Linked DNA regions of Drosophila melanogaster. The protein of the gene in region 1 binds, or shares a complex with, the protein of each later gene. Each region holds a gene or a part of one and is shown on either strand. Other genes may lie near its edges. A codon is read from its position in the direction of its gene.

What was found.
Region 2: the proteins of CG7044 (region 1) and IntS11 are in contact, whole or in part, in a cryo-EM structure (PDB 8UIC), measured with the Drosophila melanogaster proteins. Residues at the interface, in NP_650940.2 of Drosophila melanogaster: Thr26 (codon at 2,166), Asn27 (codon at 2,169), Asn28 (codon at 2,172), Val29 (codon at 2,175), Tyr30 (codon at 2,178), Glu32 (codon at 2,184), Lys33 (codon at 2,187), Thr36 (codon at 2,196), Pro116 (codon at 2,566), His156 (codon at 2,686), Thr157 (codon at 2,689), Leu158 (codon at 2,692), Tyr159 (codon at 2,695), Arg162 (codon at 2,704), His438 (codon at 3,532), Leu441 (codon at 3,541), Glu444 (codon at 3,550), Asn445 (codon at 3,553), Gln506 (codon at 3,736), His509 (codon at 3,745), Val513 (codon at 3,757), Arg551 (codon at 3,871), Val554 (codon at 3,944), Lys558 (codon at 3,956), Trp600 (codon at 4,082), Glu601 (codon at 4,085), Asp604 (codon at 4,094), Thr605 (codon at 4,097), Tyr648 (codon at 4,284), Ser652 (codon at 4,296); in NP_651721.1 of Drosophila melanogaster: Leu9 (codon at 2,123), Gln13 (codon at 2,135), Val15 (codon at 2,141), Gly16 (codon at 2,144), Met35 (codon at 2,201), His36 (codon at 2,204), Met37 (codon at 2,207), Tyr39 (codon at 2,213), Asp41 (codon at 2,219), Arg43 (codon at 2,225), Asp47 (codon at 2,237), Ser49 (codon at 2,243), Tyr50 (codon at 2,246), Pro53 (codon at 2,255), Pro56 (codon at 2,264), Ile57 (codon at 2,267), Ser59 (codon at 2,273), His68 (codon at 2,300), His70 (codon at 2,306), Asp72 (codon at 2,312), His73 (codon at 2,394), Thr87 (codon at 2,436), Gly88 (codon at 2,439), Pro89 (codon at 2,442), Lys97 (codon at 2,466), Pro101 (codon at 2,478), Glu105 (codon at 2,490), Arg108 (codon at 2,499), Lys109 (codon at 2,502), Val112 (codon at 2,511).

What each region holds. Positions count from the first base shown.
Region 1 is NT_033777.3:21,097,656-21,103,662, reverse strand, and holds CG7044 (uncharacterized protein), read left to right. Parts: upstream 1-1,944; 5' UTR 1,945-2,090; coding exon 2,091-2,214; intron 2,215-2,284; coding exon 2,285-2,468; intron 2,469-2,528; coding exon 2,529-3,873; intron 3,874-3,937; coding exon 3,938-4,142; intron 4,143-4,200; coding exon 4,201-4,373; intron 4,374-4,440; coding exon 4,441-5,334; 3' UTR 5,335-5,434; downstream 5,435-6,007. Other genes in the region: Tbc1d22 (TBC1 domain family member 22), read right to left, coding at 1-19, 73-241, 745-940, 1,002-1,386.
Region 2 is NT_033777.3:29,743,372-29,748,181, forward strand, and holds IntS11 (integrator 11), read left to right. Parts: upstream 1-1,965; 5' UTR 1,966-2,098; coding exon 2,099-2,312; exon of another isoform or gene 2,313-2,391; coding exon 2,392-3,366; intron 3,367-3,421; coding exon 3,422-4,026; 3' UTR 4,027-4,142; downstream 4,143-4,810. Other genes in the region: Wdr24 (WD repeat domain 24), read right to left, coding at 1-6, 64-219, 280-364, 418-750, 813-1,452, 1,511-1,628; ATPsyngamma (ATP synthase, gamma subunit), read right to left, coding at 4,483-4,810. UniProt on the Drosophila melanogaster protein: RNA endonuclease component of the integrator complex, a multiprotein complex that terminates RNA polymerase II (Pol II) transcription in the promoter-proximal region of genes.

The DNA.
Region 1 (6,007 bases):
GCCAGCTGACAGCGCGCATCTGGAGTTCGGTTTAATTAGAATTACACAACGAAATATTTGTTCGATTCTCACCTTCCGAGGCACGCCAGACCAGCTGATCTTCTTGAGGGCCACCAAGTCCAGTTGAGGCGAGTCTAGCACCACTTGGAATTTTTCAATTTTCGTCTCGTACTCGCTGTCCTGGCAATTCGAGCTGATCTTCTGCAATTGCGGTCTGCCCGGGTAGTTCCTCAATCTAGATCTGAAATGGCAATATATATTACTAACCGTTGAAGTCTTGATTACTTTCGGTCTTAGTTCCGCGTCTCCCGACATTGCTCTGTGGGAATAGCTGGGAGTGGCTATCAGTTAAGAAAGTGAAATGCTTCAGGAGCGGTTGCCAAGTTGGTGTTAATACTCGTTAAAACGTGGCGAATGGCAATAATAAGTTAGGAGCGCCCCAATGATTAACAACATATATAGGTAATTTTAACCTAATTACATAGTAATATTGTATATTGTATATTGTAAAGTACCGTTTCAAAATTTGAATCTATTGTAAGTATTTCAACTCCCATATGACGGAATTCTTCATATCTTTAGTTTCTACTTTGATAATAAACACGTTAATGCTTTTTAAATAGCACCTAGGAAATAATTCAGAAAGCGGGTTCGATCCGCTCTACACCCCTGACTTATTTGCACAACTGCAGGCATTGGGTTCAACTTTCTTTTTGACTTCCCAGTTGAGTTGGCGCCGCTCACCTGTTTTCATTACTGTCCGGCAGAGATCTACGGTCTTCCTTGCAGTCGTCCGTCGAGCTACTGCTGACTGGGACCAAATCTGCGCCACTTTCGTTTGCTGACCGGGATGCATTATGGTTCTGGTTGCTTCGAGAGTGCGTCTCGATCACGTTGAGAGCCACCGTCTGCGACACTTGCCGGGAGAAATGAGCCGCATCTGTTGGGGGATCAAAACGAGATCAGAGGTTGAGGAAAACCATCGGGGTTGCGGAACCCACCGCCAGCTCCAACGGCCGCGGCAGCCGCCTCCGTGCTGCTGATGATGCAGAACTCGTCGTCACCCATGTCCCAGGCATCGCTCACCGACTTCTGGTACTCGGTGAAGGTGGACACCATGCCAGATCCGGGGGCAGCGCCGCGACCGACCGCTACCCCAACTGCCGCCGCCTTCTCGAGCTCCCGCTTGGGACTGGGTCGTCCGGGCACTCGACGTCCGCTGTTTTTCCAAAAGGTCGAGGAGTTTGCGCCGGGCGTTGGTCCGGCTCCACTTGCCACGGTTACTACTGCTACACCTGCTCCTGCTGTTCCTGTTGCTGCTGCTGTGGACTCGGCTGTTTCAGTTTGGCTCTTTCCTGCTAATTGCTCTACATTGTTATCCATCATACGTTCCCTAGAGCCGATTCTATGTCAGCGTCATTATATTATTTTGCATCAAAAACAGTGTGACCATGGCAACTATTTACGGCTTTCACCGCACGACACTTCTTGGTAGTGATGAGAGCGTATCGTGATCAAGTGACTGGTGCGAAACCGAACCATATTGATACCCATTACTTGTGGAGAAGAGTGAACCTAGTATAGTTCCGACGAGTCGATCAAGAGATATAAATGATTAAAAATGAAAACTCGTAATTCAAGACATTTTTCTATGCAAAAGCTTTTAGAAATATGGAAAAAAGGTATGTAATTAAAAAATATTTAATAAAGACCGTAATCTTTGAGGTATAAACATAACGAAAATGTTTTGTACAGAGTTCTTCTTTCTGCAATATTAAGTAGTATAATTAGGTAATTTTAATTAATGGTAGTAATGGTATTACTTATTAGCAAAGAATAAAAGGGAAACTATGCACCGTTATATGTTTCGATGCGTGACTTTGACCGCTCACCTGGCAACCCTGGCGAATGCGCTTTGGATTTCGACTGCAAACGTACACGGCCACTCAATACAAAACAAGTGTCTTTCGGTGTGATAAGAACCAGAACCCGCAATCAACGATTTCATTATTCGGTGGATCAATTGCAAGCTCCAAAACTATGCCATAAGGGGCAGTCGCCATTTAAGCAGTCAGTGTGGAAACAGCAAGATGCAAAAGCAAGAAGAGACGCTGTCGCGCCTGCGAACGATATTCGACATATTTTTACGCGAGAACTTTTCCACTACGAACAATGTTTACTTTGAGAAGCTCCTCACGCACTTGCAGGCCAAGGGTGAGTTTACCAATCGGAGTGGCCCCGCAATCTGCCCTTAAATCCTCAAATGAATCCCATCTGTCCGCAGAGAATGCCTTTGTGCTGCAGGCCCCATTCGTGGTGGAATGGGTGGACAGGTGCATCACGGCGGTGACCGAGGACTTCAAAAAGATCCACCCGAAGGTGATATCCTTCATGCTGAATCTGACCAGTTTTCTGGCGAACAACGAGTGGATGATCGTGCGCCTAAGAGAGCTTGATATAGTAAACAGGTAAATGGTAGGATAGAAAACCAGGCTCTAATCTCTTAAAATAATCGACTACCATTTTAGAGCAGTGAAACTACTACAGAGGGAACACAACTTAAGCCCATCGATTAAGTTAGGTGGCATACGTCTGATGAAAGCCATCACCGTGTATAGCATGGGGCTGGCCTTTCTGCGGATGCACCGGATCTGGACGCTGCTCATCCAGTATTCCAACAACGATCACACGCTGTACGTGGTGCGGGAGGCCCGCCAAGTGCTTTACAACATGGTGTACAAGTCCTGCGACAAGCTGCACGATAAGGCTGTTACCCTGGAGATTCTGTCGGAGATTATGCAGCCGATTCACGACAATCTTTATAAGAACACCGACGGCGTGGAGCGCATCCACGTCAAGGTGGACGACAACGAGATGTTGCACAAGATCTCGTCGACACTGGATCTACTGTCCTACATACTACAGCAGACGCTGGTGCTCGAGGAGCGCACCACTCTGATCATCCTGCTCAAGGAGCATCACGACTTCGAGATTACCGTTTGGAAGCTGATCGATATGACCCACAACCCGTACTTTACTGAGAAGATCTTCACCACACTGAGCAGCTACAACTTTGCCCTGCTGTTGCACGAAAAGTTGCTGAATCCGAACGCCACCGAGCCGTCGGAGGAGTTCACCGAGTTCGGGTTGGCATTCTTTAATCTCATGAAATTCCTTATTACCCGCAAGGACGGCTTGAGTTTTGTGAAGTTGGCGGAGCTCAATCATGTACTTTGGAAAAAACTTGGACCTCGTGCGCCCAAGGAAATTGTCATCCAACAAGAGCGCGTTACGTTTGAAAACCAGCTAATCTGCTTTCACATGCTGCCGTTGCTCTTCTCCATGAAGTACGCACAGAAGATCGCCGACGAGGAGAGCAAGATAGAGCTCTTCGACGCCTATGTTGTCAAGTTGCTGGAGATCTCCTGCGAACAGACCTTGCGGCTCTGCTACACAATGCGGGACAACTTCTTTTCTGCAGACGGCATGGCTGTTGGCTTGGTGACGGCCGGCCTGGCAAACAAGTGCATACATAGCCTGTTGGCCCTGGAAAACGTTCTCGATCGAGAGCAGGCGGTTACTGTGTGCCAAGCTTTGCTATATGTGCTCCGCGAGGCAGTGGCCATGAGTGTCATCACAAATAATGGGGAGGATGACTGTCACAGCGTGAGCAGCGCGGGCAGCTCCTACCTAAAATTGTACCCCCGGGGCACCGAACAGGTCGTTAACGATCCACAAGTTTTGCATTCCGTAATGGTGGGTTTGCGCACCTTGATCGAACGCTTTAAGATCACGTGGAAGGAGTCGGTGGAGACCATTGGCCTGGTCAATTGTCTGGCATTTGTCCTGGAGAACACAAGCATGGATGCTAGGGTAAGCAAAACAAACTCTCATTTCTAGCGGGTTAAAATAGTAAAATGTGATTCTTCATTTGCAGTGCACTGTCCAAGCGCTGAAGCTCGTCCAACTCGCTGTGGAGCATTTCCTTTCACCGAACATGGCTCTTTTGGTGGACAACTTGCAGGGCTCCGCGCTGGTCTGTCTGGGTCCCATTATTGTGAAGCGAATGCACGACACAATGTGGGAGGTGCGTGACACAACGCTGGAGCTTACCACCTCTATAGCCAGTATCTCCCGCATCAGTAAGCGTGTGATTATCTTAACGTAGTGCCTAACATTAATGATACGTTGCTTCTACAGAGTTTCCCGCCTTCCAACGCTTTCTAATCGACTCAAAGATACCCCCGATAGTTTACGAAATGGCCAAGAATGACTCGGAAGTCTATGTAAGAGCGTCTGCCTTCCAGTGTCTTTCCCAAATGGTCTCCATAAACCTTTTGTGGGAGAATGGTCTAAGCCAGCTCGATCTTGTAGTGAGTTAATCTATTTACACATATACTCGGAAAAAATTATTAATTAAACACTTTGAATTCTCGACAGGACCATCTTTTGTTTGTAATGTATCGGGAGACCAACGATATCGTGAGATCCGAGGCCGTGATTACGCTGATGAAGATCTACGAGCACCGCAAGATCCACGAGAAGTACAAGAACACCCTCTTCTCAACCCTCAACTATTGTGTAATCGGGGATCATCACACGGAGGTGAAGCTGAATGCTTTAAATTTTTGGCGCCGCGAGTTCTACCGCCAGTTTAGCAATCAGGGCATGATAGATGGCTCTTTTCCCACAGTGACCTTCTCTAAGGAGCAGAAGAAGATTGTCACGCTGACGGAGAAAGAGATCCAAACCAGCATTGCCAAAGTTTTTGGTGAAGTACAGCAGTACGGATATTTTGGCATCCTACTCAAGTGCCTGCGCGAGGAGACTTCAATGGAGGTTTTGGAATTCCTCATTAAAGGCGTCAAGACCATGACGGAGAAGTTCGAGCGCTACAAGGGCATAATGGAGGAGATTGAAATGAGATCGCCGCTCTCAGACAGAGAGCGGCCAAGATTCGACTTCCCGTCCCAGCCGCAGCCAACTCCGATTCCACAGCAGCCACCGGTCAATCCCACCGAGGCGGACGAAGTCATCGAGTCCATATTGAACTCGCAGGATGCACAGCTCCTGGAGAAGGCGTTTGAGACCCAGATGCAGATAAACGCGCAAGGGAAAACAGCGGAGAAGCGGCACATCGATGAGTTCTACTATAAGCAGTTCGCGGTGCCATTGCGGCAGTTCTTTGAGGAGCTCAAGACCATTGACCTGGACCAGTTGGTTAAGCAGCACCAGGAGTGGTTCGAGTGCAAGGAGAACTTTACCTCCCTGCTGGATGACATCCTCGGTGCGCTGAAGCGCGACGATGAGAACATGATTTCGGACTGTTACTAATTCCGAGCTAAGCCGTTTTCCAGTCAAAAAAAACCTCTCTGTGAAGTAAGCTAAAAGTTTTTTCCGTGAAATAGATAATATTTTTGATAACTACGTTTTGAACATAAAATGAGATTTTATTTCGCCGGCGCAGATAAAATAAATAACAATACAGTAACAAAACAATGTTTTAAATGACTAAACATATTTCAAATCAAGACGACCCATATTTAAACGTTTTTGTTCCTTTTTTTAATTTTTGGTGTGCTGGTCACACTGTTCGCGTCGTGTTTGTTTTGGTTTTCTGTTGGTGGTGACACACTTTTAGAGCGATGTGAGCCGAGTTTTTATCGATGCATCCATAAGAGAAACTACTTTTTACTTCTTACAAAAATGTTGTATAAGGTAGATTTGCCAATTTTTAAAACGCAAAAACCCGAAATATAGTAAACTTCGATATTGATAACTTAGCCGATATTATCGTATGGTGTTGGGAATCGATAGTGCCGGCACCGAGCCTTCCCACTATCGACGAGCCCATCGACTGCAGCACATCTTCAGCGCATAGATGCAGCGAAAAGCGGATCGTCTCGCGTTCGAATTTGCACGCACTGCTGCATAAATATTAAAAAAGCACTGGGAACATGCAGTTGCACAAACGGAGAGCCAAGCAAAAATATGGCCAGTGCATTAT
Region 2 (4,810 bases), 8.6 Mb from region 1:
GGTGGCCTGAAAAATGTAGATGCTAAGTTTTGGCAAATTTTGGGAATAATCTCAAGCGCTTACATTATGTTTGCCGTATTTCTTGGAAACCTCTGCATTGTGCTCGCATAACTCCGATAGTTTTTTCCCACTGATAACAAGTTCCCTGGCACAGCCAATAAAACTTTCGTGTTCTTGGGTGGGTCTTGAAACAGATTCGCTTAGGGGATAGCCGGAAAACTGAAATATATCAATTAGTATCAGATTTGGCAAAGAAATCCCTAATAGTGTCATACTAACCGTGTCGTTTACCATGAATTTGTACATTTTGGAATGGTCCAAATGGAACTGAATGCTGCCAGCCACATTCGTCTTACGGCGACTTCTAAAATACACATACATATAAACATACAAGTTGATACAACAAATACGACATACATGAAGCTAGAAGACTTGGTATTGGATGCACCGCTGGTCTTGGGTTCATACTCCTTGATCTTGTTGGCAAAGGAGATGTCCCCAAATCTGCCCAGGCTAGCTCCCTGGGCATTTGCCTTCAGCGCTGGCCTCGTGGCATCCTTAAAAGCATGTTTGTAAATGGTGGAGTCCTTGCTGATGGACAGAAGACAGTGCGAGTCGCTGCCCTGCCACGCAATTCCAGTAGTCACATTGGTGTGCTCGTTGAAGGAGGCAAAGGGGATGTAGGGTCTGCGGATGTCCCACACATGAACGCTGTAGTCCACCACAAGGGCACAACTAGCGATGTGATAACTGGAAAGGATTAAACAGATTTAATATAAATAAGACTGTTAAACCTGGCTAGAAAAACCTACGTTCTTTCTGGTCGCCACTTAACCCGTCCCACTACGGCGATTGTGTGAATGGTGTGCTCCAATCCCGGCCTGCCATCCATGTTCCACACCTTGATCTGCTTGTCCCGACTTCCGGTGGCCAGCCAATTCCTTGTGGGATGCCAGTCGCATGTGTAGACTGGCCCGTAGTGCGCCGTAAACTGCACCATGCACTTGTCCCACTTCCGCATGTCCCACAACTGGACAGTTCCATTCTCGGAGACGGCGGAGAATATGTTTTGTGTGTGTGGACTGAACTTGACATCCCGCACTGATTCCGAGTTGCAGAAGTAGGTGTTGATTGACTTATCCGATCGGATGTCGAAACACTTGATGGTGCCATCCTGAGAACCGGAGATCAGGATGTTGGGCTCGCTGCTGTGAAAGGTCACGGTATGAGCGGTGCGCTCATGTTCGTTGTAGACAAGCAGCTGCTTCTGCCTGCCGAACTTGGAGAGATCCCACACGGAAACCACTCCGTTCGTGGCCGCCGTAGCCAAAAGATTGCTATCCAAGGTGGACCAGGCCACATCGTTGGCGGAGTAGCTAAGATTCTGGTTCTTTCCGCGCATATTACACGATTCCGTGAAGCCATTGCTGTTTATGGAGTACACCTTAAGCACTGTTCGGAAGCAAATTATGTGTATTTATAGAAAGACCTTGGGCAATTCTAATCTTACAGCTTCTTCCGGCCAAAGCAATCTGGTTGTTGTCCTTATTCAGGGCCAGGGCGTTCGCGTGTCCTTCCAGGCATATCCGCAGCGAGATTGTGGAGGTGTCCTCCACGGAATCGGGCATCCTGCAGCAGTTGCAAGTTCGCCCGCAGAAAGCAAAACAGTGATTTGATAAGACAAGACGCTATCTTTTATTTTCCTTTCGGTTCAGTATGACCGTTTCTCGAGCGGCAAACCATTGGCGCGAGTGTTCCCAAATGCAGATGTTGAATATTGTTTGAACAAAAGACTTATTGTACTAAAGTTGTATTATTCACATATAATTAATGTATTCTATACATATACAGACAGAAACATTAATTTCAATTAAGCTATTAAATTCTTTGAAACTTCTTGGAACACTCCAATAAGATCTGCCAGTTGGAGCGCGTCGTTGCCGGACCATCCACACCGACGGAGTGGCAACGCCATTCGTGCGGCCTTGCTGTTTACAAAAATCACGGTCGACTTTTTCGACAATTTCATTTACCAGCGCAACAAGTGGCCGCAAGAAAGCAGGAGAGTGGAGCCGGGTGATCCTGATCCCTTCCAGAAATGCCGGACATCAAGATAACGCCCTTGGGCGCCGGCCAGGATGTGGGCCGCAGCTGTCTGCTGCTCTCGATGGGCGGGAAGAACATAATGCTCGACTGCGGGATGCATATGGGCTACAACGACGAGCGCCGCTTCCCGGACTTCTCCTACATAGTGCCGGAGGGTCCGATCACCAGCCACATTGACTGTGTGATCATCTCGCACTTCCACCTGGGTGAGTCTCGGCCTCCCAAAGGCGCTCTTATCTGGTCAACTGGCTCTAATCGTTTCTTTATCGATTGCATGCATTCCAGATCACTGCGGGGCCTTGCCCTACATGTCAGAGATTGTGGGCTACACGGGGCCCATCTACATGACGCATCCGACCAAGGCCATAGCACCCATCCTCCTGGAGGACATGCGGAAGGTGGCCGTAGAGCGGAAAGGCGAGTCGAACTTCTTTACCACCCAGATGATCAAGGACTGCATGAAGAAGGTGATTCCCGTCACACTTCACCAGAGTATGATGGTGGACACGGACCTTGAGATCAAAGCCTACTATGCAGGCCATGTCCTGGGCGCCGCCATGTTCTGGATCAAGGTGGGCTCCCAGAGCGTTGTCTACACGGGGGACTACAACATGACTCCAGACAGGCATCTGGGAGCCGCCTGGATAGACAAGTGCCGGCCGGACTTGCTGATCTCCGAGAGCACCTACGCCACTACCATTAGGGACTCGAAGCGGTGTCGCGAGAGGGACTTCCTCAAGAAAGTTCACGAGTGCGTGGCTAAGGGCGGCAAGGTTTTAATCCCTGTTTTTGCCCTGGGTCGCGCCCAGGAGCTGTGCATCCTGCTGGAGACGTACTGGGAGCGCATGAACCTCAAGTACCCCATATACTTTGCTCTGGGTCTTACCGAGAAGGCCAATACCTACTACAAAATGTTCATCACCTGGACGAACCAGAAGATCCGCAAGACCTTCGTTCACCGCAACATGTTCGACTTCAAGCACATCAAGCCCTTTGACAAGGCCTACATCGACAATCCTGGCGCGATGGTAGTGTTCGCCACGCCAGGCATGCTGCACGCAGGTCTTTCCCTGCAGATCTTCAAGAAGTGGGCGCCGAATGAGAACAACATGGTGATTATGCCCGGCTACTGTGTGCAGGGAACCGTGGGCAACAAGATTCTCGGTGGCGCCAAGAAGGTGGAGTTCGAGAACCGCCAGGTGGTCGAGGTCAAAATGGCCGTGGAGTACATGAGCTTCTCGGCCCATGCAGATGCCAAAGGTGGCTACAAGCTTAGCACTTTTATGCTGATACTAATTAATTTTCTGTATTGCAGGCATTATGCAGCTAATTCAGAACTGTGAGCCAAAGAACGTCATGCTCGTCCATGGTGAAGCAGGGAAGATGAAGTTCCTGCGCTCGAAGATCAAAGACGAATTCAACCTGGAAACCTACATGCCGGCCAACGGCGAAACCTGTGTGATTTCTACGCCTGTGAAGATACCAGTAGATGCGTCCGTTTCCCTGCTTAAAGCAGAGGCCCGGTCCTACAACGCCCAGCCACCGGATCCCAAGAGGCGGCGACTAATCCATGGCGTCCTCGTAATGAAGGACAATCGAATAATGCTGCAAAACCTAACCGATGCCCTGAAGGAAATCGGAATTAATCGACATGTTATGCGATTTACATCCAAGGTCAAAATGGACGACTCCGGACCGGTCATTCGCACAAGCGAAAGACTGAAGACTCTGCTCGAAGAAAAGCTAGCCGGCTGGACGGTGACGATGCAGGAGAACGGCTCCATAGCCATCGAATCCGTTGAGGTGAAGGTGGAGGAGGACGAGAAGGATCCCAAGCAGAAGAACATTTTGATATCGTGGACCAACCAGGACGAGGACATTGGAGCCTACATACTGAATGTGCTGCAGAATATGTGCTAGGCAACGAAGAAGCATCCCATTGAAATCCCACGCCTTAATTCCATAGATAAGCACAAAGTGTAGATACCACCAATTTCTGAAAGTTTAAAGAGTATCAAAATATACATAAACGTTCCAATAGTTTTTTGGTCATTAGTCATTGCCACTTGAAATTTGAGACTTTATGCACATTAAGTTATATCAATGGGTCTTTGCATAAGAATGCAATCGAATCCCATGATATCAATGTGTAAAAACCAAACAGACCTGTGCAAGTGCTTTCAAATTCCTTGCCTCCCACTCCAATTAGGTAAGGACTCCATGGTTAAAGTTATTTTCGTTCGTTCCACGCTATTTATTCTGGGGTTTTTCTGAAAGAGTAACATTACTAGGGCTCCAGGCGTAGCTCCAGGTGCCTGGCACCATATGCAATTAGCTGTATGAATCGTTAGAGCTGTTCGAACACATTCCATTCGCTTATGTGAGGGCGGCGGCACCGGAGATGATTTCAATCAGCTCGCGAGTGATGACCGCCTGTCGGGTACGGTTGAAGGTGAGGGTCAGCTTGTCGATCATCTCACCGGCGTTCTTGGAAGCGTTGTCCATGGCAGTCATACGGGAGGACTGCTCCGAGCAGGCGCCCTCCTTCATGGTGTAGAAGATGAGCGAGGCCAGCGAGAACTCCAGATAGCTCTTGACCACGTCGCTGTCGAGCGAGTCGTAGACGGCCAGCTTCTCCGACTTCTCCACGGTGGATCCGCTGAAGATGGGGAGGGTGGAGCACTGGTAGGACACCACCGACTTG